4 linked regions of the Drosophila melanogaster genome follow. Changing the gene in region 1 together with any one later gene gives a genetic interaction. Each region holds a gene or a part of one and is shown in the gene's direction. Other genes may lie near its edges.

Evidence for each region.
Region 2: of Zw (region 1) and Idh, changing one enhances a phenotype caused by changing the other (phenotypic enhancement), as found in Drosophila melanogaster (one study listed by BioGRID).
Region 3: of Zw (region 1) and Pdha, changing one suppresses a phenotype caused by changing the other (phenotypic suppression), as found in Drosophila melanogaster (one study listed by BioGRID).
Region 4: of Zw (region 1) and Traf-like, changing one suppresses a phenotype caused by changing the other (phenotypic suppression), as found in Drosophila melanogaster (one study listed by BioGRID).

Annotation. Positions count from the first base shown.
Region 1 is NC_004354.4:19,665,631-19,672,871, forward strand, and holds Zw (zwischenferment), read left to right. Parts: upstream 1-1,621; 5' UTR 1,622-1,971; coding exon 1,972-1,990; exon of another isoform or gene 1,991-2,116; intron 2,117-4,091; exon of another isoform or gene 4,092-4,437; intron 4,438-4,709; exon of another isoform or gene 4,710-4,783; intron 4,784-4,853; coding exon 4,854-5,113; intron 5,114-5,175; coding exon 5,176-5,393; intron 5,394-5,478; coding exon 5,479-6,556; 3' UTR 6,557-6,723; downstream 6,724-7,241. Other genes in the region: et (eye transformer), read right to left, coding at 7,006-7,241. UniProt on the Drosophila melanogaster protein: Cytosolic glucose-6-phosphate dehydrogenase that catalyzes the first and rate-limiting step of the oxidative branch within the pentose phosphate pathway/shunt, an alternative route to glycolysis for the dissimilation of carbohydrates and a major source of reducing power and metabolic intermediates for fatty acid and nucleic acid biosynthetic processes.
Region 2 is NT_037436.4:8,355,893-8,360,855, reverse strand, and holds Idh (isocitrate dehydrogenase), read left to right. Parts: upstream 1-1,915; 5' UTR 1,916-2,198; coding exon 2,199-2,300; intron 2,301-2,730; exon of another isoform or gene 2,731-2,783; coding exon 2,784-2,840; intron 2,841-2,920; coding exon 2,921-4,201; 3' UTR 4,202-4,452; downstream 4,453-4,963. Other genes in the region: Culd (CUB and LDLa domain), read left to right, coding at 4,648-4,851, 4,914-4,963.
Region 3 is NC_004354.4:4,700,291-4,705,769, forward strand, and holds Pdha (pyruvate dehydrogenase E1 alpha subunit), read left to right. Parts: upstream 1-2,034; 5' UTR 2,035-2,241; coding exon 2,242-2,301; exon of another isoform or gene 2,302-2,401; coding exon 2,402-2,602; intron 2,603-3,264; coding exon 3,265-3,829; intron 3,830-3,904; coding exon 3,905-4,227; intron 4,228-4,297; coding exon 4,298-4,480; 3' UTR 4,481-4,975; downstream 4,976-5,479. Other genes in the region: CG7024 (uncharacterized protein), read left to right, coding at 5,274-5,396.
Region 4 is NC_004354.4:16,413,529-16,418,126, forward strand, and holds Traf-like (TNF-receptor-associated factor-like), read left to right. Parts: upstream 1-1,517; 5' UTR 1,518-1,895; coding exon 1,896-2,057; coding exon of another isoform or gene 2,058-2,128; coding exon 2,129-2,557; intron 2,558-2,626; coding exon 2,627-3,035; intron 3,036-3,090; coding exon 3,091-3,206; intron 3,207-3,266; coding exon 3,267-3,575; 3' UTR 3,576-4,057; downstream 4,058-4,598. Other genes in the region: CG4301 (uncharacterized protein), read left to right, coding at 1-101, 166-492, 559-772; AnxB11 (annexin B11), read right to left, coding at 4,302-4,367, 4,428-4,496, 4,553-4,598.

The DNA of each region.
Region 1 (7,241 bases):
ATTCGTAATCCACATCAACACCACACATGCAAGCAACTGGCTAATGAATTGGAATATAACACACAACCAATGACGACCATTTCCACACGGCTGCCCCCCAAAACCCCTGTAGTAGTATGTGTACGTGTCCGTATTCCTTGTAATTTCGCCCGTCGACTGGGGGTCTTATCACAGGCTCTCGCTTCCCTCAGCTGGCGAAGGCGCCGACCATCTGACTCCGACCCGTTCTCCCGTTCGGCCGCTCTGCCGCTCTCTTCGCCCGGCTTTGAGTCCGATTCGGACTCAGATTCGGATTCGATTCACATAAAGTGAAATCTCGCATCGTGATTGTGTGAATGAGCATGCACGCCAGAGAGCCACACAGGGGCGGAACGGTCTGGGCCCTCGCGGGCAGGGGCCGCGTTTTTTAATTTTACACAGTTTTACCAATTGTTCAGACAGGGCAAACCCGACCGACCTTGGTTGGGGCTGTGCGTTTTAAACCAAAGGCAAAGGCCCGCAACGGGCGCTAGCTTGCAATAGAAAATAAACAACAGGGGAGTTGTGTTCACTAAGGATTGGAATAAAAGTGCACGCCAATTTATGCCGGTTTCTTGTTGACGGCCTGTGTCACATTTACCCTGCGACCTCAAACCTGCCTAGGTCTTCTCTTCGACGGAAATACCATTGATTACGTCTCATCCCACTGCTACCTCGGAGTTCACCTTGATCGGACGCTGAGTTGGAAAGCCCTTATCACGGCTCCTGGAAACTGAAAAAGCTGGACTGGGTTTTCCACTCAAGCAAACTCCATATGGCAACTAAGGCTCTCTTAATAAAAGCCATATCCAAGTGTGGGGAACAGAGTATTAGAGTAAGACAATCGGGAGCGGCACGACATGCATCTGGGCTACATGTGGTATGTGAGCAATAGAGTTATTGAAGGGGACTTAAAAGGTGTCCCATTGGGGTACCAAATAAACTTCCATAGCAGCCGATATGCCGACAGACTTAGCGCCCACTTAAACACGTTAGCGAATGATCTTGTCGACCCTATTTCCCTCCGATGTCTGAAGAGAATACATCCCCATGAACTCCTTACACGTAATATAGCATAATCTCTCCTCGGTACATTTGTATACACTATAATTAAGGAACAGAATCCATAATATCTTTTAAGCTACACATTAGGTTAACTTCAGAAGGAACTGATCGATTCCTACTGACTAATGAATAATAATAAATGATTTAAACTCTAAAAAGAAATGTTGACGTTTGCTCGTTTTCACTGACCAAATACGACGTGATTCTAGGTAGGATTAGAAATTGTAAGGGTGTTGTTTAGTAATGTGGGAATCATAATTCTAGCATAATTTCATCATTAAACTCATCAACGCATCAGATCAATGCTCTCAGATTAAACAGTTTTATTTCCATGTTATACTATGATATCGTATTATTTGTATATTTATGTGTTATCCATCAATTCCATTCACATGTAAATCCAGATCGAATGGGCCCCCGCGCGCACTGAATCCGCTCCTGTCTGCGATCAGCTGCGCAGTCGGGGTTACAAAGCGTCTGCTGCTTTAGCTGTTGTTGCTGGTGTGTTGGTGTTGTTGCCATTGGCAGTGCTTGCTTGGGCGTTTGTTTGCTGCGGCGGTTCGCGCCGCGCTTCAGTCAGTCAGGGAACGATCGTGCTTATCTTCATTACTACTACCGCTTCCACCGAGGCTTCGCGACTCCGTACCCGTACTCGCTTTGTTTTACGTTTGCGCTACTAGTTAGTGAATCCGACGACGACGACCTGCGCGTGCGATTAAAGCGCCGCAACTCTTTGTAATTACACAGCCAGAGCCGCAGAGGTTGCTCAAAATCCAGCGACTGGAGAAATCGTATATCGAGTTGGAAATCCGAATCGAAAGGCTTGCGTATACATAGTTGTCACACTTTTGCTTTTAAACAGAAAAATCCATTCACATTCGGGTCAAGATGGCAACGCAAAAGGAAGGTGAGTATCGCAGCTTTGGGCAATTGGTATCGAATTGGATTCCACACCGCGTACTGTTACCAATTCGATTTTCGGGCGCGTACTTGCCGCGATCACTGTCGCGCCAGGTGGACTGGCTTTCCAATCGGAATCCGATTGCGAGTGCGAGAGCCAGTGCCAGTGCCAGTGCCCGTGCCAGTGCGCCCTTCAAATGTGCTCTTCGCCTGGCACTGGGGGTCACCTACAAAAAGCAGAGGACGCGGACTCGGCCGACTGTCTTCTTATCACAGGAGAGGCCACACCGCTGCTCCGCTCCCGCACCCGCACCGCTCTCTATCATACTTTCATACTTCCACTCTCCACTACCACTGGCCACTCTCCACCTGTCACTCTTACTCTCACTCCTCCACGCCTACTACTCACTCCCCCAACTACCCATCCAGCCGAGCGATGACGTGTGGGCGCCGCTCTTGGCCATCGGACGGGCTTGGATCCGAGCGGCCAGCTAAAACAAACACTCGCTGCGTGCTCCAAGATTAGAACCCGGCAATAGCAATAACCTTTGGCGGCAGCGCGAACTCTCCAGTCCCCAGTCCCCAATCTCCGTTCTCCACTCTGTGGCAATGACATTGGAACGCATGCATGTGTACATTCTACGCACGGTTAATTAGCTGCCCACCTGCGTTCTACACGAGAAGCCTTTCCAAACAGAAACCAAAAAAAAAAAAAAGAAAACAAAAACAACAGCGGACAACAAATGCAAACTCGCTTGGCGTTAATAATATTCAAACGCGTTACCTTGCTCACCGCCTATTACTTTCTCCCTTCTCCACTCGCCCTCTACATTCGGCTGCTCTCCATTCTCCAATCTCCATTCTCCTTGCCCCAATGCCTTCGCTTCGTCTGTGTCAATGTCAAATGCGATGCGGCCGAGATTACAGTCGAGCTTCGATAAGTGAAACCAAGCTGAGTCAAGCAAAAATGCGAAGACTTGAGCAAGCAAGGCAAAACAAACGGGAAATTAAGACATATGGCAAACTCAAAAAAAAGGTTAAAGTCATTTATGTTCCTGCTAGGCAAACACCACTGTCGGCTTGTGACTCACAATCTCGGCATTTGAAGGAGCTCGCTAGCCTCTTAGTCACCATCCATCCATCCACCAGCACCATCCAACTCACTGGCTGTGTAATCTTTCGAAGCTCCTACAGCCGAAAAGTATGCATTACCGGCGTTCGCAGAGATCGGCCTCGGAATTAGGGTTAAATTCCAGCTCAACTCATATCTTCGGAGAGCCCAGGTAGCCCGCCGTAGAATCACGTGATTCACCGAGACCCATCCACTTCGACATTTAAACGACTCACAATGATTCTCAAAAACGAACGCAGTGCCCCATGATGTTTCCAGAAGCTCATATTATCGAAATCTATATTTTATGACACCGTGACAGTGCCTGCATTAGTGGCTCGCAACCCTTTTTAAACGACACACAATGATTCTCAAAAACGAACGCAGTGCCCCTCCTCCATTCATTTTCCAAAAGCTCATTATATCGAAATCTATGTTATGACACCGCGACAGTGCCTCCATTATTGGCTCACAACCTTTTTGAAACATTTTCCGAATGATTTTCCTATGACCTCTAAGATACGAACGTGCACACATTCAAAATCGGGGAGCTTTAGGTTTTCAAGATTTTGAGATTTTTGAACTTTTGAAAAAGTCTATCTACATACTCGTAGTTATTTTTAGAGATATACTACAGAGGTTTACTAAAGGCTAGTTACTAGTTTGCAAGAACAGTATCCCTAGTAGATCACATAGCAGCAGATCAAGTATATATCATCCATTAAGCATACAACACTGTAATCTCTTCCGATCTGTGCGGGAAGTGATGCCATCGTGGGTTCATCTGATCATCCGACCGATCGCATTCCCGCCACGCGATCGACTGATGCTGCCCGTTCCGAAGCCAAGTTTGGATATACGGTGAATAGTGATGTATGTACATACATACGTCCGGAGCACTTGGCTTGCACTTTGTGCCCAAGTTCGCCTCGCCGTCGACGTCGCTGCCGGGTTCATCGCTTACACCTTGTTAAAGTCGACCGCAGCGCGGCGATTTATTCGTTTTGTGCAACCGCATCGGAAGATACGCGCGTGCACCTGCTCCACCTTTTACACCTGGCCAAGCTTCCGCCACCTAACCCAGTTCCACCTGGCCCAGCCCACAGCTATCCGGGCATCAATTAGCGCCCGCTGCGGAGGTTGACCTCTGGCGGATTCTTTGGCCAGTCATCGGGATCGAATCGAATCGAATCGAATCGAATCGGATCGGATCGGATCGGAGTTGATTAGACAACGGACCCCGGTCTTATCGAGTGCTTATCGCTCCCCCTTCCCTTGACATTGAATAGGCCTTCAAATAGTCTGCATTCGGGCCCAGACCATCAGTTGCCTCCAGGCCCTCGGTGAGTCCTCACGCAGCTCATTCTGACCAACCAATCACCAACCATACGGAGTCGATGAGTCCCCCGGTGATCTATGCAAGCCAAAGGGCAAGGTCACTGAAAATTCCCGCACATCCTAAAGCTGATAGCATTTTTTTTGTTTTTCTCACTGTGCAACTAACAACTAAGAAGTAGAGAACCCCTATACCATTCTCACTTTATAGTTTAGCAGTAAAAGCAATGCATTTAAGGAAGCTATAACTATTTCTAGTTCATTTAGTTCCCTTTGATAAAGTTTTGACAGTTGAAAAAAGTTACTTAGTGAAAAAAACAAGTAGAAATTCCTGGATATCCACAGAGCCACAGAGTAATAGTCTTAAGTGGAATTCAAAGCCAGAGTAAGCCTAACCAGATCCGCCTTTCATATGTGCCCACAGATCACACCGCCCTGGATCTCATAATCAAGTCACTCAAGTCGCCTACAATGGTCTGCGAGGGAACCCACTTTGACGGCAAGATTCCGCACACGTTCGTCATCTTTGGGGCGTCGGGCGATCTGGCCAAGAAGAAGATCTACCCCACGCTCTGGTGGCTCTACCGCGATGACCTGCTGCCCAAGCCGACCAAGTTCTGCGGCTATGCCCGTTCCATGCTGACCGTCGATAGCATCAAGGAGCAGTGTCTGCCGTACATGAAGGTGCGTTCGGGATTTGGTCATAGGCCATTTGCATCGCATTAACCCAACCCATTGCCACACAGGTCCAGCCGCACGAGCAGAAGAAGTACGAGGAGTTCTGGGCCCTCAATGAGTACGTGTCCGGCAGATATGACGGACGCACTGGCTTCGAGCTGCTTAACCAGCAGCTGGAGATTATGGAGAACAAGAACAAGGCCAACCGCATCTTCTATCTGGCCCTGCCGCCCAGCGTCTTCGAGGAGGTGACTGTCAACATCAAGCAGATCTGCATGTCGGTCTGGTGAGTATAAGATCAAGATCAAGATCCAGATGCATTTAATTTGAAACCCGATACTTATGTACACCTATAACCCGTTCGCTTGCAGCGGTTGGAACCGCGTGATTATCGAGAAGCCTTTCGGCCGGGATGACGCCTCCTCGCAGGCGCTGAGCGACCATCTGGCCGGTCTGTTCCAGGAGGATCAGCTGTACCGCATCGATCACTACCTGGGCAAGGAGATGGTGCAGAACCTGATGACCATACGCTTCGGCAACAAGATCCTCAGCTCGACGTGGAACCGCGAGAACATCGCCTCCGTGCTGATCACGTTCAAGGAGCCCTTCGGCACGCAGGGTCGTGGCGGCTACTTCGACGAGTTCGGCATCATACGCGACGTGATGCAGAACCATCTGCTGCAGATCCTCTCGCTGGTGGCCATGGAGAAGCCGGTGAGCTGCCACCCGGACGACATTCGTGACGAGAAGGTCAAGGTGCTGAAGAGCATCGAGGCCCTGACGCTGGATGACATGGTGCTGGGCCAGTACCTGGGCAATCCGCAGGGTACAAACGATGATGCGCGCACGGGCTACGTGGAGGACCCCACCGTTAGCAACGATTCGAACACGCCCACCTACGCCCTCGGCGTGCTCAAGATCAACAACGAGCGCTGGCAGGGAGTGCCCTTCATCCTGCGCTGCGGCAAGGCGCTGAACGAGCGCAAGGCGGAGGTGCGTATCCAGTACCAGGACGTGCCCGGCGACATCTTCGAGGGCAATACGAAGCGCAACGAGCTGGTCATCCGCGTCCAGCCGGGCGAGGCCCTGTACTTTAAGATGATGACCAAGAGCCCCGGCATCACGTTCGACATCGAGGAGACGGAGCTGGACCTCACCTACGAGCACCGCTACAAGGACTCCTACCTGCCGGACGCGTACGAGCGTCTCATCCTCGACGTCTTCTGCGGCTCCCAGATGCACTTCGTCCGCTCGGACGAGCTGCGCGAGGCGTGGCGCATATTTACGCCCATTCTGCACCAGATCGAGAAGGAGCACATTCGGCCAATCACCTACCAGTACGGATCGCGCGGTCCCAAGGAGGCGGACCGCAAGTGCGAGGAGAACAATTTCAAGTACTCCGGCTCCTACAAGTGGCACGGCGGCAAGGCGGCCACGTCCAATCACTGAGCGTTTGGAGCACACCAATCCCCGGGCTGGGTTCGCAGGATACTCCTCTCTGTCCGCACGTACATGTACATACATACATATATATGTATATATACATATATGCATTCTTTGGTTATTTGTAATTCGGTCTGTACAAGATTTTTTTTTATTAAATATACAAAATAGTGTTTAGCTGGAGCAGAACGATCTTCTAACTCATAATCCCGGCTAGTTCGATGTGTATGTGGTGATGCCGATCGCATGCGTGTCGATGTACATAAATAGATCCTTCATAGGATGGCAGATGGGTGGCAAACGTAACCCTACGGTTGTAATACTAACTAAATAATGAGTATGCTTCTGGTCAGTGGGCTTCGGTGCTGAGCCGGGCTAGTTACTAGCGGCTCCTCTCGAATATAGATTTACAGGCGAACTACAACAAGAGCGGGCAGCAATCTTCCCGAGAGATTTCAGCGCACGGGTGGCGGCTTGATGTACCCATCGCCGCAGGGCGCGCCTATTGCGCTCATGGACACATACTGATTGGTTACGTACGCATCGGCCTGGGGCACGGGCTGTGGTCTGGGCACCTCCTGCAGCTCTATCTCCGGCCACCTCGTGGGCTCCTCTTCCGCAAATGTCACGGTTTTGCGCACTGTGCCGTAGAACTTCTCCGGCGGAACATTGGCGGGATAGAACAGGCGTA
Region 2 (4,963 bases), on another chromosome or scaffold:
GTCTGCAATTTAATTAGTCTGTGCTCTAACATTCTAAATTCGGCATTTTAAATATTCTAAAAGGTAAGTGGAGCATTTGTTTAGCCTTATATAAACCGGTTCACACTCCACGCCAAACACCCACACTTCCGATCGCATTCCGCCCAGCTATTTACTGCACTCAAAGGCTGACTTGCAATTTATCTGAGCAAATAAAAAATGGTGGATTTCCAGATCGGTTGCAATACGTAAATTTGCCGCAATTCAAGCCTCCTTAATGCAAATAAGTTGCGCATTTTAACTTTATGCATAACCTCTGGCCCAACCTATTTGGGCCCGAACTTTCCCCACCGGTCTGTTTTCATATGCATTTTATTTGTCTGCCGCTGTTTTGTTTTTTTCTTTGCACCGGTTTGCCTCCTCGAAAAAGAGAGATACGGATAAAAAAAGTGTGAAGAGACGACAGTGTGAAAGAGGGGGATATATGTGGAGAGAGAGAGACACGTAACCCATTCGACAGGCCTTTTCACATCCACCTGATTCTCCAGGTGCTGTCCAAAGTTTAATCTTGAATTCGTGTCGACAGTTTTAATTAAACCTATACAATTACTATGCATATCTACAAATAGATGGTTCGAGAAAACCTCCAGATAGCTCGTATCTCATTGGGACTTTTGCATGCACAATTTGGAAATGTTTTTAACTTTCTAAGTTTGTCCTATGTTTTGAGTGCTTAAACAACTTAAACAGTCGACGTTTATTTTTTTCATTTATCAAACTAGAAGTCAGATCTGAATACAATTAATTACTATAATTAGATTATCGTAAACTTATATTTGATAAGGATAGATGGACTCTTTTATTAACTTGTCAGTCGAAAAATTAAAACCATAATTTTATTAGGTTTTCTTTTTTATTTCTAGCGAATTTTGTATTAACAGTTTCATAAAGTTCAAGGGTCAAAAGTCATCATGCAATCTTTTTATTTCAACAATAAATATTTCTGGGACTAGAAAAACACCAGATGAGAAAATATCAGATTAGATCTAGATAATTTATTCGCCCCGTCATTACCAGCTTATTTACCAATCGCAAGTCTTATCAATATCGTACTATGTTCGAATTCTCCCAGTTGGACTAGAAAAAAAAACGCTTGTGAAATTCGTTTGGTGAAAGCATAAATATTGTTATTATATATAATTGTGGGCGTGGCCTCAGCTTATGGCGTGTTCGGCGATCGCGCCACCTCAATATGTTAATTAGGTACACATGTACCTATAAAGACTTAGAGATATTTATATTAAAGTCAGACAATGGATCTATTAAATATGAGAAGAAAAATCCAAAAAAACATCACGCAATTGCTATTTTAATTTGGAAGTAAATGGCATTGACTGAGTAGATAAGAATGGTAGACGTTTCAAGATAATCAGAGCGAGCCTCCTTCGCAACAAAAAAAAAAAAAGATTGGCGCCCAAGTTCAAATATTATCTAAGCTTTAACATGTCAGTTCGACTATCGTTATCGATAGTACCGCACGTACCAGCTGATTTTGAATTCGGGTGAAGTTGAATAAATAAGCTTAATGCCACGCGCTTTTCTAATTTGTATTCCTTATCAAAACAAGTCGGCCGTGAACTTTAAATAAAAGTGGCTAGCCCGCAATAGTGGAAAAGTTTTTCGCCAGCTGATAAACGCAACAGTTGTCATTCGGAAGAGAGGGACAATGCCACCCGCAATGCGAAAGCGATTGACAAGTCAGCCGGCGATAACGATTACATGTTTACGCGTTCGCCGAGTGCTTATTGTTTTTTATACTCTCGTTACATTATTAATTAAAACACTTGCTTTTAAGTGTGCCGAGTGTTGTGAGAGCAGCTTATCAAAGTCCGAGGTTCTAAATCTTATCTGACTGGGCATTTAGAACGTTGTGATTACGCCGATTGCGCAACAATTTGACGATTGTACGCCACCCAAGAGAGTCGGAAACTGTAGCGCTTAACGGCACTTTACAGTTATCAGTTACGGTTAGAGCGCGTCTGACGCCCACAGCATTTAATTTTGCTTTGTCCGAAAATTGTTCTCTTTCCCGGGACTCCAGTGTCATATTGTCTCGTATTGTTTCACATTGGTGACAAACACTATCGTCTCTCGTTTCCAGTCGTCGGTCGGTTCATTCATAATAATAATACCCACATCCACACCAATCCGGTTGTAAAATGTTCGCCCTGCGCCGCACAGCCGCAATGATGACGTCGGTCCACCGGCAGCCGCATCTCAGCCAGGCCGTTTTTCGGGCCAATTTCGCCATCAGCGCCGCGGTAGGTCCTCCTTGTATCCTCGCCCTCTGTCGCTCTAAATCTCTTTGCTTACTAAATTTCGGAATAGGGTGGGTCGATGAGCAGGAGAAAAAGATATTTTGAATTTTTTGAAGTCGGTCTCAATATTAAGATTATAAACAATCACGTAGTCACCTGTGCTGCTAGCATCCGATAAATAGGATTACTATATTTACTGTTTATACAAAAAAATTGAACAATTTTTTCTTAAATTTATAACCTATGAATGCAAAGTAGAGATATTAACTTTTAGGCAAGTACCTTAATAATTACGTCGTCACGACGAAATATTAAATATTACAAAGTAAAGATAAGGGATTACTTTTGAAACACGGTGTATTTTAATTTCCATCCATCAATATCGACCCACCCTATCCCAGGCTGATCAAAGTTTACTTTGCTTTGACCAGTTGTCAGTTTATTATCGTCATACATATAAGTTTCGCCTGTATCGCCTGTGCTTAGGACCCCAAAACCCATAAGATATCCATGGATAATGAAAGGATGTCCGCCGTGAGCGAGGTGAATACCCCAATACCGCAGCATTCAGACACAAATCCATTTTTCATGTAGCTAATAAGATTCCCATCCTGCCCTTCAAGCACTCAAGTGTGGTATGCTCTCCCGAACAGATGGCCCAGAAGATCAAAGCCGGTCCCGTTGTGGATGTCCTCGGTGACGAGATGACCCGCATCATTTGGGACTCCATTAAGAGCCAACTGATTCTGCCCTTCCTGGACATTGAGCTGCATACCTACGATCTTGGTATTGAGAACCGCGATAAAACCGAGGACCAGGTCACCATTGACTGTGCTGAGGCCATCAAGAAGTACAACGTGGGCATCAAGTGCGCCACAATCACTCCCGACGAGAAGCGCGTAGAGGAGTTCAACCTGAAGAAGATGTGGAAGTCGCCCAACGGTACCATCCGTAACATCTTGGGAGGAACCGTCTTCCGTGAGGCAATCATCTGCAAGAACGTGCCCCGTCTGGTGACTGGCTGGCAGAAGCCTATTGTGATCGGTCGCCATGCCCACGCCGATCAGTACAAGGCCGTCGACTACGTGGTTCCCGGACCCGGCAAGCTGACCCTCACCTGGAAGGGAACCGACGGTCAGGTGATCGATGAGGTCATTAATGACTTCAAGGGCCCCGGTATTGCCCTGGGAATGTTCAACACGGACGATTCCATTGTGGACTTTGCCCACGCCTCTTTCAAATATGCTCTGGACCGCAAGCTGCCGCTGTACATGAGCACCAAGAACACCATTCTGAAGAAGTACGATGGACGCTTCAAGGACATATTCGAGGACCTGTACAACAAGCAGTACAAGAAGGAGTACGAGGCGGCGGGCATCTGGTATGAACACCGTCTCATCGACGATATGGTTGCTTATGCCATGAAGTCGGAGGGTGGCTTCGTGTGGGCCTGCAAGAACTACGACGGTGATGTGCAGTCGGACTCCGTTGCCCAGGGCTACGGATCTCTGGGTCTGATGACCTCCGTGCTGCTATGCCCCGATGGCAAGACCGTGGAGGCTGAAGCCGCTCACGGAACGGTGACGCGTCACTTCCGCTTCTACCAGCAGGGCAAGGAGACCTCCACCAACCCCATTGCCTCGATATTCGCCTGGACCCGTGGCCTGCTGCATCGTGCCAAGCTGGACAACAATGAGCCACTGAAGCAGTTCGCCGACACCCTTGAGCAGGTGTGCATCGACACAATTGAGAGCGGCGCCATGACCAAGGATCTGGCCATCTGCATTAAAGGCAACATCAACGCCGTTACTCGCAGGGACTACCAGGAGACTTTTGAGTTCATTAACACGCTGGCCAAGAACCTGGAGGGTGCCCTGGCCAAGAATGCCGTTGCTGCCAAATGACTATCCGGCACTCAGTCCGAGCAGCAGGCCTCGCATCTCTAGAAAACTACTCAGCGATGCCTTGTCCTCGTCACCATATTCACAATATTTCCATTCGTTTTTGTAGATGTGCATGTCCTAGGCTAAAAATCCGTGTCCTCGATGCATGTTTCCCACTGTTTCATTGTCTCTGCGAGACGCAAAAAAAAACCCTGATTTCCCTTTAACGTCTAACGGAAAAGAAATTTCAAATAAATGTATTTTTATACCGGACTCGAGAGGTCTTTAACCCAGTCGAGGGTGGGCTCGTTACGAGGCCCGGTCCACTTGTGCGGCTTCTGATGGCTCTGGGTTTATTGGATTTGCCAGCGAAATGGCCACAGTTGTGTTCTAACACTTGGCGGCACCAGACCGAGACGGTTCAAGCGGAAGGGGCTCAGGATCCTGTTAGAAGGACGAAACTATCGATGCTAGCCGAAGCATTGGGCTATGGCTACCTGCTGGCCTACGTGATCTGCCTGCTCTGCTGGCCAGGAGAGGCGTATCCCGCCAGCAGTAGCTACCGGGATCTGGATATATGCAATCATTGGGACGGAAGACGTCACTTCCTGGAACTGGGAAGTCCAGCTGGAGAGGTGCACGCCAGGAATGTGACTACTACTGCCTATAGAGTAAGTGTATTTACAAGCTTCTCCAGACGGGATTTGGTCAGCAATTATGAACTTAAAAACAGAGCTCGCCGCTGGTTTTTAAGAACGATGCAGTGGCCGGGGATGTGTGGTA
Region 3 (5,479 bases), about 15 Mb from region 1:
TGCCAAACAACGGCAAGCCAGCAAGAACATGAAACCATTGCAATAAAACCATAGCAGCAACAAATTACACGCAAATCAAATATTATGTGTATGTGTATATGTATTGTCCATCCACAGCAGCAAAGTATGCAACAAAAATTTTTGTAGAAACTGCAAGCAGTTTTTTTTTTTTTTTTTTTTTTTTTTTTATCGATGATGTTTTTATTATTTGATCAACGCACTGTTACCCATGCGGCAACTTAATTTGATCTGCTTAAATTATTTTATTTTACAATGTGTCTTGGTTACTTAAGACTAACAGATTTTTAATCCTAAAAAAGATAGGGAGAATTATAATAGTTGATATAACATAGTAATTATTATTTATTTGATTATTCTAATGAATTTTAAAACTAAGACTTTCTAGGTCAAAACCAGGTTAGGGAGGTCATGAGGGTGGTGTGCAAGCAGTAATAAAACAAAAAGGCGGAGAAAGTCGAAAGCAAAAGCAAAGACAAAATAAATAATTATCATCTTGTCGTTTATATAAGTGTGTGCTATGTGTTTCTCCGAATCGGATTTATGTTATATAAAACAGAAGAACAGTAACAATTTAAAGGCAAATTTCAAGGAATGAAAGCGAACAGTAATAAGAAACAAGGAAACCAAAAAGTAAATATATATATTCATGCAAGAAATACAAAATAAAGTAAACATTGGTGTAAATTAAGCAAGAACCTAAGTAAAACCTACTAAAAACAACCAAAAAAAATAAGAAGCTTAATACGTAATTTCCTGAAAACAACAGAAGACATATGCAGAAATCACACACATTTACCGTTACTTTTCACACACATACAGCACCTCTCTCTCTTTAGCTATTGCGTTTTAGATTATTGCTCAGCACGTTTTTGCGTAGACACAAAACTATTTATGCTAACGGTAAGATAGAACCTCCTCTCTCTCTCTCACCCACACACACACACACCTCCCCCACTTACACACACACAAGCACTCGCAAAAACAAGAAGACGAAGAGAAAAACTAAATTTTTTTCTTATAATCGGAATGCCGGATTTCTAACGGGAAAGGAAACAAAAACACAACAGGACTTCTAATAAGTGTTTATACATACAAATATATATATATATACATGTACATGTATACATATGAAACAAAACAAAAAACAAAGCAAAGCATAATTTTTTGTCATAATGCAAAATATTTGTGTGAGAAACCAATTTTTGATGTAACAGAAAAACGCGCGAAAAATTGAATATGTGTAACGGTAACAGAGCAAAAGATAGATAAAAGAAAGTAAAAAATTTATTTCATTCGCTTAGTTTTTCCCAAACGATCGATCCATTTCCTCATTTTCCGTTAGTAACTTTTAAACTCAAATCTTTTAGCTGCCATTTCTAAAGCAAAAAAAAAAAAATGAAACAACAAACCGAGAAACCAACAAATACAAAAACTAGTTTAAAATCTTAGTTTGTAAAGCGTTTATTTGAATTTAACTGTTTAATTCTACTTTACCTATTTCTATTTAACTGGTTTTTTGTGCAAGGAACAAACATTACTTAAGTTTTTGTAAGAGATTAGTGAATTATGTGAGCTGAGTGCGATATAGAGCAGTATTGCAATTGCAACTGCAATCGCAAATGTGGATTTATGGAGGCAATTTCAAGTAACAATACGAGTAAGAAATGAGAAAGCAAACAAAAACCAAATGAGATCTTCAATGTGAAATAAAAGTACTTCTTTGAAAACCCTCGTTTTATTTGGGCGGCAAAGTAATATAAAATGTGATTGAGTAAGTATTTATTCGAGTATTTCAATAACCGCCAAACACTACTATTATTTTGATATAACATTGTGTGACACATTATATAAAAGCTTATTGAATATTTTACGTAAACATTTATATTTCAAGTTATATTGAAAAAGAAAGTTCGATAAGCTAATTTAGTATTTTTTGAAAACAGGGAAAGCTGCAGTATTTTATTTAGGGTCACACTAATAGGCCAAGTGGTGCGTTATTTTTCGCTATAACGCCAAACGGTTGTTATAGTTGTGCAATATAGTAGTTGATAAACTAATCTCGCTACCTTTTTTTCCGATTGTTTAACTTACAACGACGCGCGGCGGTGCGACTGAGACACCAGATATATAGCGTGCGATTCTAGATCCGGACAATCCGCATATAGAAAGCCCCCATTCACATCCAATTTCTGTCAGTCGAACGAGAATAACACAGCGAAAATGTTGCGTACTCTGTCACGCGTTAGCGAATTGCCCATTATTGTTAAGCAACTGCAAAAAGTACGTAATCCCAATCCCGCTTTGCACCCACTAACATTTCTAATTGTTGTCACTAAAAATGCAATTGAACAAATCCATTCGATAATGAAAACACTAAAAGCGTTGCCATAACAACAACAACAACAACATCATCATCAGCGGATGTCGGATACTTAGCAACAACAACAACAACAGCAGCATCGATATCATCAGGAATGGGAGATATTCATCGTCGTTTTTCGGTTTATTCCAGAATGCAGCCCAAGCAGGTGTTTCGAAAACCAACAATTATGCCACGGAGGCCACCGTTCAAGTGAATCGGGTGCGTATTATAGCATTAAGTACTTGTAACTCAGGAAAATTCAAAAGTCGGAAGGGAAAAAATACGGTTACATAATGCGATTTTCGCCAGATAGCAAACGGTTTGCGTGTGTGTGTGTGTGTGTGTAAGTGCAGGGTTGCATTTTGCCGGTCAATCCGCTCATTTTCAAATGACAAGGTCACGCAGTAATTTGTAGTTTTCCGTCTCCCACGCTCTTTATCACCGTCTGCCTTTTGCGTGGCCGACGCGTGACTGTTCACGCACCATATAACATATAGTCTTATCAACGATCCGCCGATTTTCACCCTCTCTCTCTTTCTCTCCGTCTGTCTGTCTGGCTCTCTGTTTACGTCGATTCTCACGCCATAAATTAGCCGCCATAAATCCAAATTTGGTTTTTGGAGCATACTTCCGAAAATCCTCGATATGTGGTTATAGCTCTCTATAGATTAGTATACTTTGATTAGAGAAGCTTGAAGCCTATGGTTATTTGGTTTATCCAATCAAACTGCTATCATTTTATTACTTATCATGCGTTCCAAACGTTTCCGTTACGTTCTTATCAGATGTGTGTGTCAGTTGTTAATGTAAAAGTAGAAAACGTTTTTAAAATTAATGAAGTTTAGGGATCTAAATTCTAAATATGCTTTCCAACTTTGCAGCCCTTCAAGCTGCACCGCCTGGACGAAGGACCCGCCACGGAAGTGAAGCTGACCAAGGATCAGGCCCTCAAGTACTACACACAGATGCAGACGATCCGTCGGTTGGAGACGGCCGCCGGTAATCTGTACAAGGAGAAGATCATTCGCGGCTTCTGTCATCTGTATTCCGGCCAGGAGGCATGCGCCGTTGGCATGAAGGCGGCGATGCGGGATGTGGACAACATCATCTCGGCGTACCGTGTCCACGGATGGACCTACCTGATGGGCGTCTCACCCAGCGGCGTACTGGCTGAGCTCACCGGTGTCCAGGGTGGCTGTGCCCGCGGCAAGGGTGGCTCCATGCACATGTACGCACCGAACTTCTACGGAGGCAATGGCATCGTGGGTGCTCAAGTTCCTTTGGGTGCCGGCGTTGGCTTGGCCTGCAAGTACAAGGGCAATGGCGGCATGTGCCTGGCCCTCTACGGTGATGGTGCCGCCAATCAAGGACAGGTGTTCGAGGCTTACAACATGGCCTACCTGTGGAAACTGCCTGTGATCTTTGTCTGCGAGAACAACAACTACGGTGAGTGCTGTAGAAAGTGGAACAATGCTAAAAGATATTTACTTAAACCAAATGTTGTATAATTATACCCATTAGGAATGGGCACCAGTTCTGAGCGTGCTTCCTGCAACACTGATTACTATACCCGCGGCGACGCTCTGCCCGGAATCTGGGTGGACGGCATGGATGTGCTGGCCGTGCGCAGCGCCACCGAGTTCGCCATCAACTATGTGAACACTCACGGACCTTTGGTGATGGAGACGAACACGTACCGATACTCTGGACACTCCATGTCCGATCCGGGCACATCGTACCGCACACGCGAGGAGATCCAGGAGGTGCGCCAGAAGCGTGATCCCATCACCTCCTTCAAGGAGCTGTGCATCGAGCTGGGTCTGATTACCACCGATGAAGTTAAGGTGGGTTTGGCTTATAGGGTTTTATTTTTGTTATGAGTTATGATTGCTAAAAGAAAAAAACATCTTCCAGGCCATCGATCTGAAGGTACGCAAGGAGGTCGACGAGGCCACCGCCTTCGCCAAGTCCGATGCCGAGCTGGGCGTGAGCCACCTCTGGACGGACGTGTACTCCAACAATCTGGAGCCCAAGCTGCGCGGCACCATCGCCTACGATATTGATCACATCCAGGAGCGCAAGGGCGTCAATCACTAAGTCATCGGGCCAACGAATCTGATTCGGGAACTCACAAGAACCTTAAACGAAACAAGAAAACCGAACAGCAAACACAAATCACTGACAGACAGACAAGAAGACACAATAACTCAGAAACTTGGACACAAGCGAAATCTCTAGATCATAAGCCGAAAGTTGAACGATGAGAACCCCGTAGAACGGAACGGATCCGAAGAGACCCACAAAAAGCTTAGCTAATCGGAGCACTCCAACCACACATCGTAGCGCACCACATAACTCTGGGGTACTGCATTGGATATTATATTGCGAACGTGTTCAATAAGGATAAAGCGAGGTGTAAATTGTTGAAAATATAAAAATCTAGAAAAATTAATCCAAATTAGTTTTCTTAACAAAAGTGAATCAAGTATGTACTTTTGAAATGTGAAAATCTCAGTCTGTTTCACCTATACTTGCACTATAGAATTTTGATAGATTTATAAGATATTAATAAACGGAATAGATTTAATAGATAATTCGATTTGTGGAAGAATTACAGTTCGAATCAAAGTAGTATTTGAAAAGGAGCAGTTGTCAGCTCCATAAGCAATCCCAAAATCGTTATATTTCCTTCTCGTTCTGTTTAGTGACAGTTGCCATCTCTGTCGATTTGCTTATGATTTTACTGTCGATTTCTTTTCGGTTGAGTACAAATCCATTTTTCAACAATTTCCGATCATATTCAAAATTTTAGTGCGTGGCAATTGCCCATTTGGCTACAAGCTCATTTTAGTGCCCCGGTGTTTGGGAATTGGTATTCGGGCAAGGGCCAATGATGAAGTTCAGTTGTGTCCGCGTGGCGATGAGATGCAGTGGAGCCCACTCCATCCTCGAGAGAAATATGCTCTGCAGGATAATAGGGCGCCACAAATGTAGCTGTTTGACCCTGGAGAACGTAAGTGTTTTGATTATCACAAGAAGGTCAATGGATAAGTAAATACCATTGAAAAAAGCTATATCGTAAAAGTTATATTTTTC
Region 4 (4,598 bases), 3.3 Mb from region 1:
GATTCGCTATTCCTTACCTTGTACAATGTGATATACACCTCGCTGCCCATTTTGTTCATAGCTATCTCCGAGAAGCCATACACCGAGGAGAAGTTGATGAGGTAACAGTGGGTTCAATCGTTTATATGTATAATGTTGATGTTACTAAAAATGCAACTTGAACAGAACGCCACAGCTTTACAAGAAGAACACGGACAACAAGCAGCTCCACTGGCCGTACTTCCTGATGTGGGTCCTATTTGCGATCTACCACAGTGTCATCATATTCTACTTCGCCTTCTGCTTCTTCTACTACAACAACGTTCTCCTGAACTACGGACAGACGGTGGCCTTCTCCTGCTTCGGCACCCTCCTCATGTGGACGGTGGTGGTGGTCGTGAACCTTAAGCTCTGGCTCGAGTCAATGTATCTGTCCTTTTGGTATATATTCACCATTATCATTTCCATTTTGGGCTTTGTAGTCACAACGGTTATCTACAACGTTATCAATCTGTGAGTTCATGGCTACGAATGTATCCATTTAAGGTTTAAACTAATATGTATATGTATTATTTGCAGGGACTACGACACCGACATCTACTGGGCCTACAACAATCTGTTGGCCTCACTGCCAGTCTGGCTGTGGATCATAGTGACCTGTGTGGCCTGCCTGGTACCCGACTATACCATCCGAATGCTCCAGAGGGCGCTCAACATAAAGAGTTTCAGCATTTTTCCCGGAAAACAACGGAAACTTAAGATGCGCGAGAAGTTTGAGTCCACATACTTGTAATCGTCGATTAGGCTATAGTTTTTATACCCCTAATTTATTTATTTCCTCATGTATACAATTTTTTTTTTTTTTGTTAGATAAACAAATTTTTGTTAAACGTTTGAACAATAGATTTGATTTCTGACCACCACCTTAGAGGTAGGAAAGTATCTCAACTTCCCAAATGGAGAACCTTGAAATCGTATGCTAACACTCGCAATCAACTGGGAAGTACGACATTTTAGGCTGATAACATTTTTATCATAATCTCGGCGACTTATTGAGAGCAAGTGCAACTACACTTGGAAAAATGGTTCGTTTACGAAAATGCTGGGTTTCAATACAGCTACACGATACAAACATCTAATTAATAAAGGATTTATTTAATATTTTTCCTACATCGGATATTGTTTAAAAATATATACGAAAGTATATAGCCCGTTTTTATCACAGTTTAGCCGTTGCCCCACTTTTGATACCATAAAGTAGGGCGGCGAGTCAGTAAATGTACTTCAATCCCGATCCACATATGTGTACGTAGGGCACCTGTTGGTTCGGCCATACCCACTGCCACGCCCACGATCACTGCCGCCCACCACATTGTTATCTAGTTGATGGCGTCGTTACCATTTGCATTGCCGAGGCAATGGACAAAGTTTTGATTGTGAAGCCCGTTTTTCATTGATAATGTTATCTCCACTCGCATTCCGAATATGTTTGTACAAGGGGAGCTAGAGATATGAACATTTTGCAGGTACATATGTGGCCATATAGTCGCTGGAAGATCTGGTGACGGTTACGATTTTAGTGGATTCTCGGTGGCTGTGTTTTCCTGGTCGTAGTTCGCCAAGTTAGTGGTCAATACGATTCGTTGGTTGCTCTCGCATTTCGAAATAGTGGTAATCGCACCAAATGGCAGTGCTATCAGTTCGAGGTTGTCGTATAGATTCCCATGGACGCCCTAATGCTAACACATGTGCAAAGCTATATCTAAACCATGTCTGTGTGCGCCGCGTATGACTATGCCCAAGGAAATTCTTAATCATTTTTGGCTGAGTTTAGTGTGCATAGGGCGGTGCTCGCAGCGCCAGAGAATTTGCTGATCCAAAGTTTCAATCGAATTTGCTTTCCTTTAATCAATATAATGTCACTGACCAAGTCGTCGTCGAGAAAGGATCTAACCGAGCAGAATCAGTATCAGAATCAGAATGAGAATCAGAATCAGCCCAAATCGACGACCATAGTCAAGTATGAGAAGTCGTCGTGCCTCTTCTGCAACGAATGGTTCGATGCCCAGACATTCACGGTTATAATCGTCCAACTTTTCAGTTCACCTTTGATTACTATTACATTACTCCTCTTTGGATGCGACTGCAGGAACACCTGATCCACTGCGGCCAGGTGCTGGAGGAGTGTCCCAACGGCTGTCAGGCCTTCATTCCACGCATCCGTATGCGATCCCATCTGAAGGAGTGTCCACGCAACCAGCACAATCTGAGCAATCAGCAACGCATGAGTGTCAGCATGGATCGCCTGGATAGGCAGTCGGATCAGCGTCTCCTGGTCATTGAACAGGACGTGGGCACCATTCGGTCCGTTCTCAACGAGGAGATACGACAGCGTTTGCATCTCATTACCGATGTGGGCAACATACGGAAGCAGAACCAGGTCGTCGAGGACTGGACCCGCGAAACCGAGAAGGCAATGGACGATCTGCGTCGCCAGATGGAGGAGGAAACCAATCGGAAGGCATTCGCCATCGAACAGAACCAGCTGGATGTCCAGTACTGCTGTGATATCACACAGGTTAGTTAATGCTACTTTATTTAAATATATATATACTATCTATCTTTAATGTGCATATCTCCGTCGAAGTCCTTGAAAGAGCAAGTGGAGTCCAGGCTGGATGAGGCCCAAAAGCTGGTCAATCAGCTCTCGGCGGACGTGACCTATCACCAGAATCAGCTAAACGACAATATCCTAAAGCTGGAGGAGCTGATCTTTGAGAACGAGCGGCTCAACAGGGAGAAGTTCTTTCAGATCGAGGAGTTTCTGCAGCAGATCAATGAGGACATCAAAACAAAGCTGGGCAACAGTGACTATGTGACGTCAAAGCAGGCCACATTGGACTATGAGGTGAAGAATGTGAAGAACATTGTGTGCGAAACGGAGGAACGTTGCGATAAATTGGATCGAGCACTTCACCAGACCATGCAGAATATATCGGATTTGGAGACCCAAATGGCCATGCAGCAGCGGATTGCCAGTGTCCAGAATATAAGGGGTACATATTGTTGGTTCAATATAGTAATTTAAATATATAATATCTGGTCGTACAGGACACTTGATTTGGCGCATCAAGGATTACTCGAAAAAACTGGAAGAGTCCAAGCAGTACGACACCATCCTCCATAGCGCCATGTTCTCCAATAAAGCCTTTGGCTATGCTCTACGGGTGAGTTGAGGTTGGATCTTGGTTGGATATGCCATTTATATATGTATACCCCATTACTAGCTGGATATATACTTGAATGGCAAGGGCACCTGGAAGGGCAGGAACATGATCGCCTGCTTGAACGTTCTATCCGGAGAGTACGATCCCCTTCTGGCCTGGCCATGCCGCCTTCAGGCCGAGATCATCATCCGGGATCAGTGCACGAATGTGGCAGATGCCGAGGATTATGTGAAGACCATCTTTGTGCGCAAGAAGAGCGATGATTTTATCCAAAGCAACCAGTACTTCCATATACCACACAAGGTAATCACCAGTCGCAACTATCTTCGCAACGATTCCATGTTCATCGAGGTTCGAGTTCTAAAATAAAACCCATGCAGCATCGCTATCCCACCCACCAGGAGCGATAAGAAAAAAAAAATCCAATTGCGGATTGTCACATACATAAAACATAATTTATTCCATTGAGAGCGAACTGGAAGTTAAAAACCCGCTTACAAACACGAGTATGTGTACATATATAGTGTATAAGTGCATACGAATCGATTCATCGTTTCAATATGCGTATATTGTAGTTTTAAATGTCATTGCAGTTTTAAATGCTTTTTTTCAAATTAGGCAATAGTCACATTGAGGCACTGTCGAGACGAAGTCGGTAGTTAGAAAGCATAGCTTTTATTGCAACATTTCCCTGGTCACTTTGTCAAGATATAAGCAACTCTTTCATTTTTTGGTTTTTCATTTCGAGCAAATTAACAAGCGATTTTTGAGAGGAACTTCCATATTATTTGTCTTTACGAACGCATTTAAATACAAAGGTCTTTTAATAAAATACAACTTCAACACTTGTCAACTGTCGGTTCCCATGTTCATTTCTTTGAAAGAGGTATCAAATGTCTGATCCCGTTCAGGTATTATTTGTGTGCACTTATAGTCTACGTTGTGGATCATAATTGTCTGGCTTCGTTGGCGTGTTCTTGTATGTTGTATGCATTTAAATGAACGAATACATAGAAGAGATAATACATATTCGAATAATTGATTTCACGTCGGATTTGGTTTGAATAATACATATATATGTATATGCGGAGATTCTTAAGAGGAGCGCTGTTCACCCACCAGGGCATAAAGGGCGTGCTTGTAGTGGCCCGAAGTATCGCCCTGCAAGTAGGATTTTATATGATTATAGAATATAGATATAGATAGATATATATATCTTACCTTGATCCAGCTCTTGAGGGACTTGCCGTACAGACGTTCGAACGCTACCTTAATGTCCGTCATATCAATCTGAAAAACGTTGCAACATTTTAGGGTTGAATGATATTATATATAGATGTACTTACCTCGCTGCGCGTGATGATCACACGGATCAACTGGGTGTCATTGGTG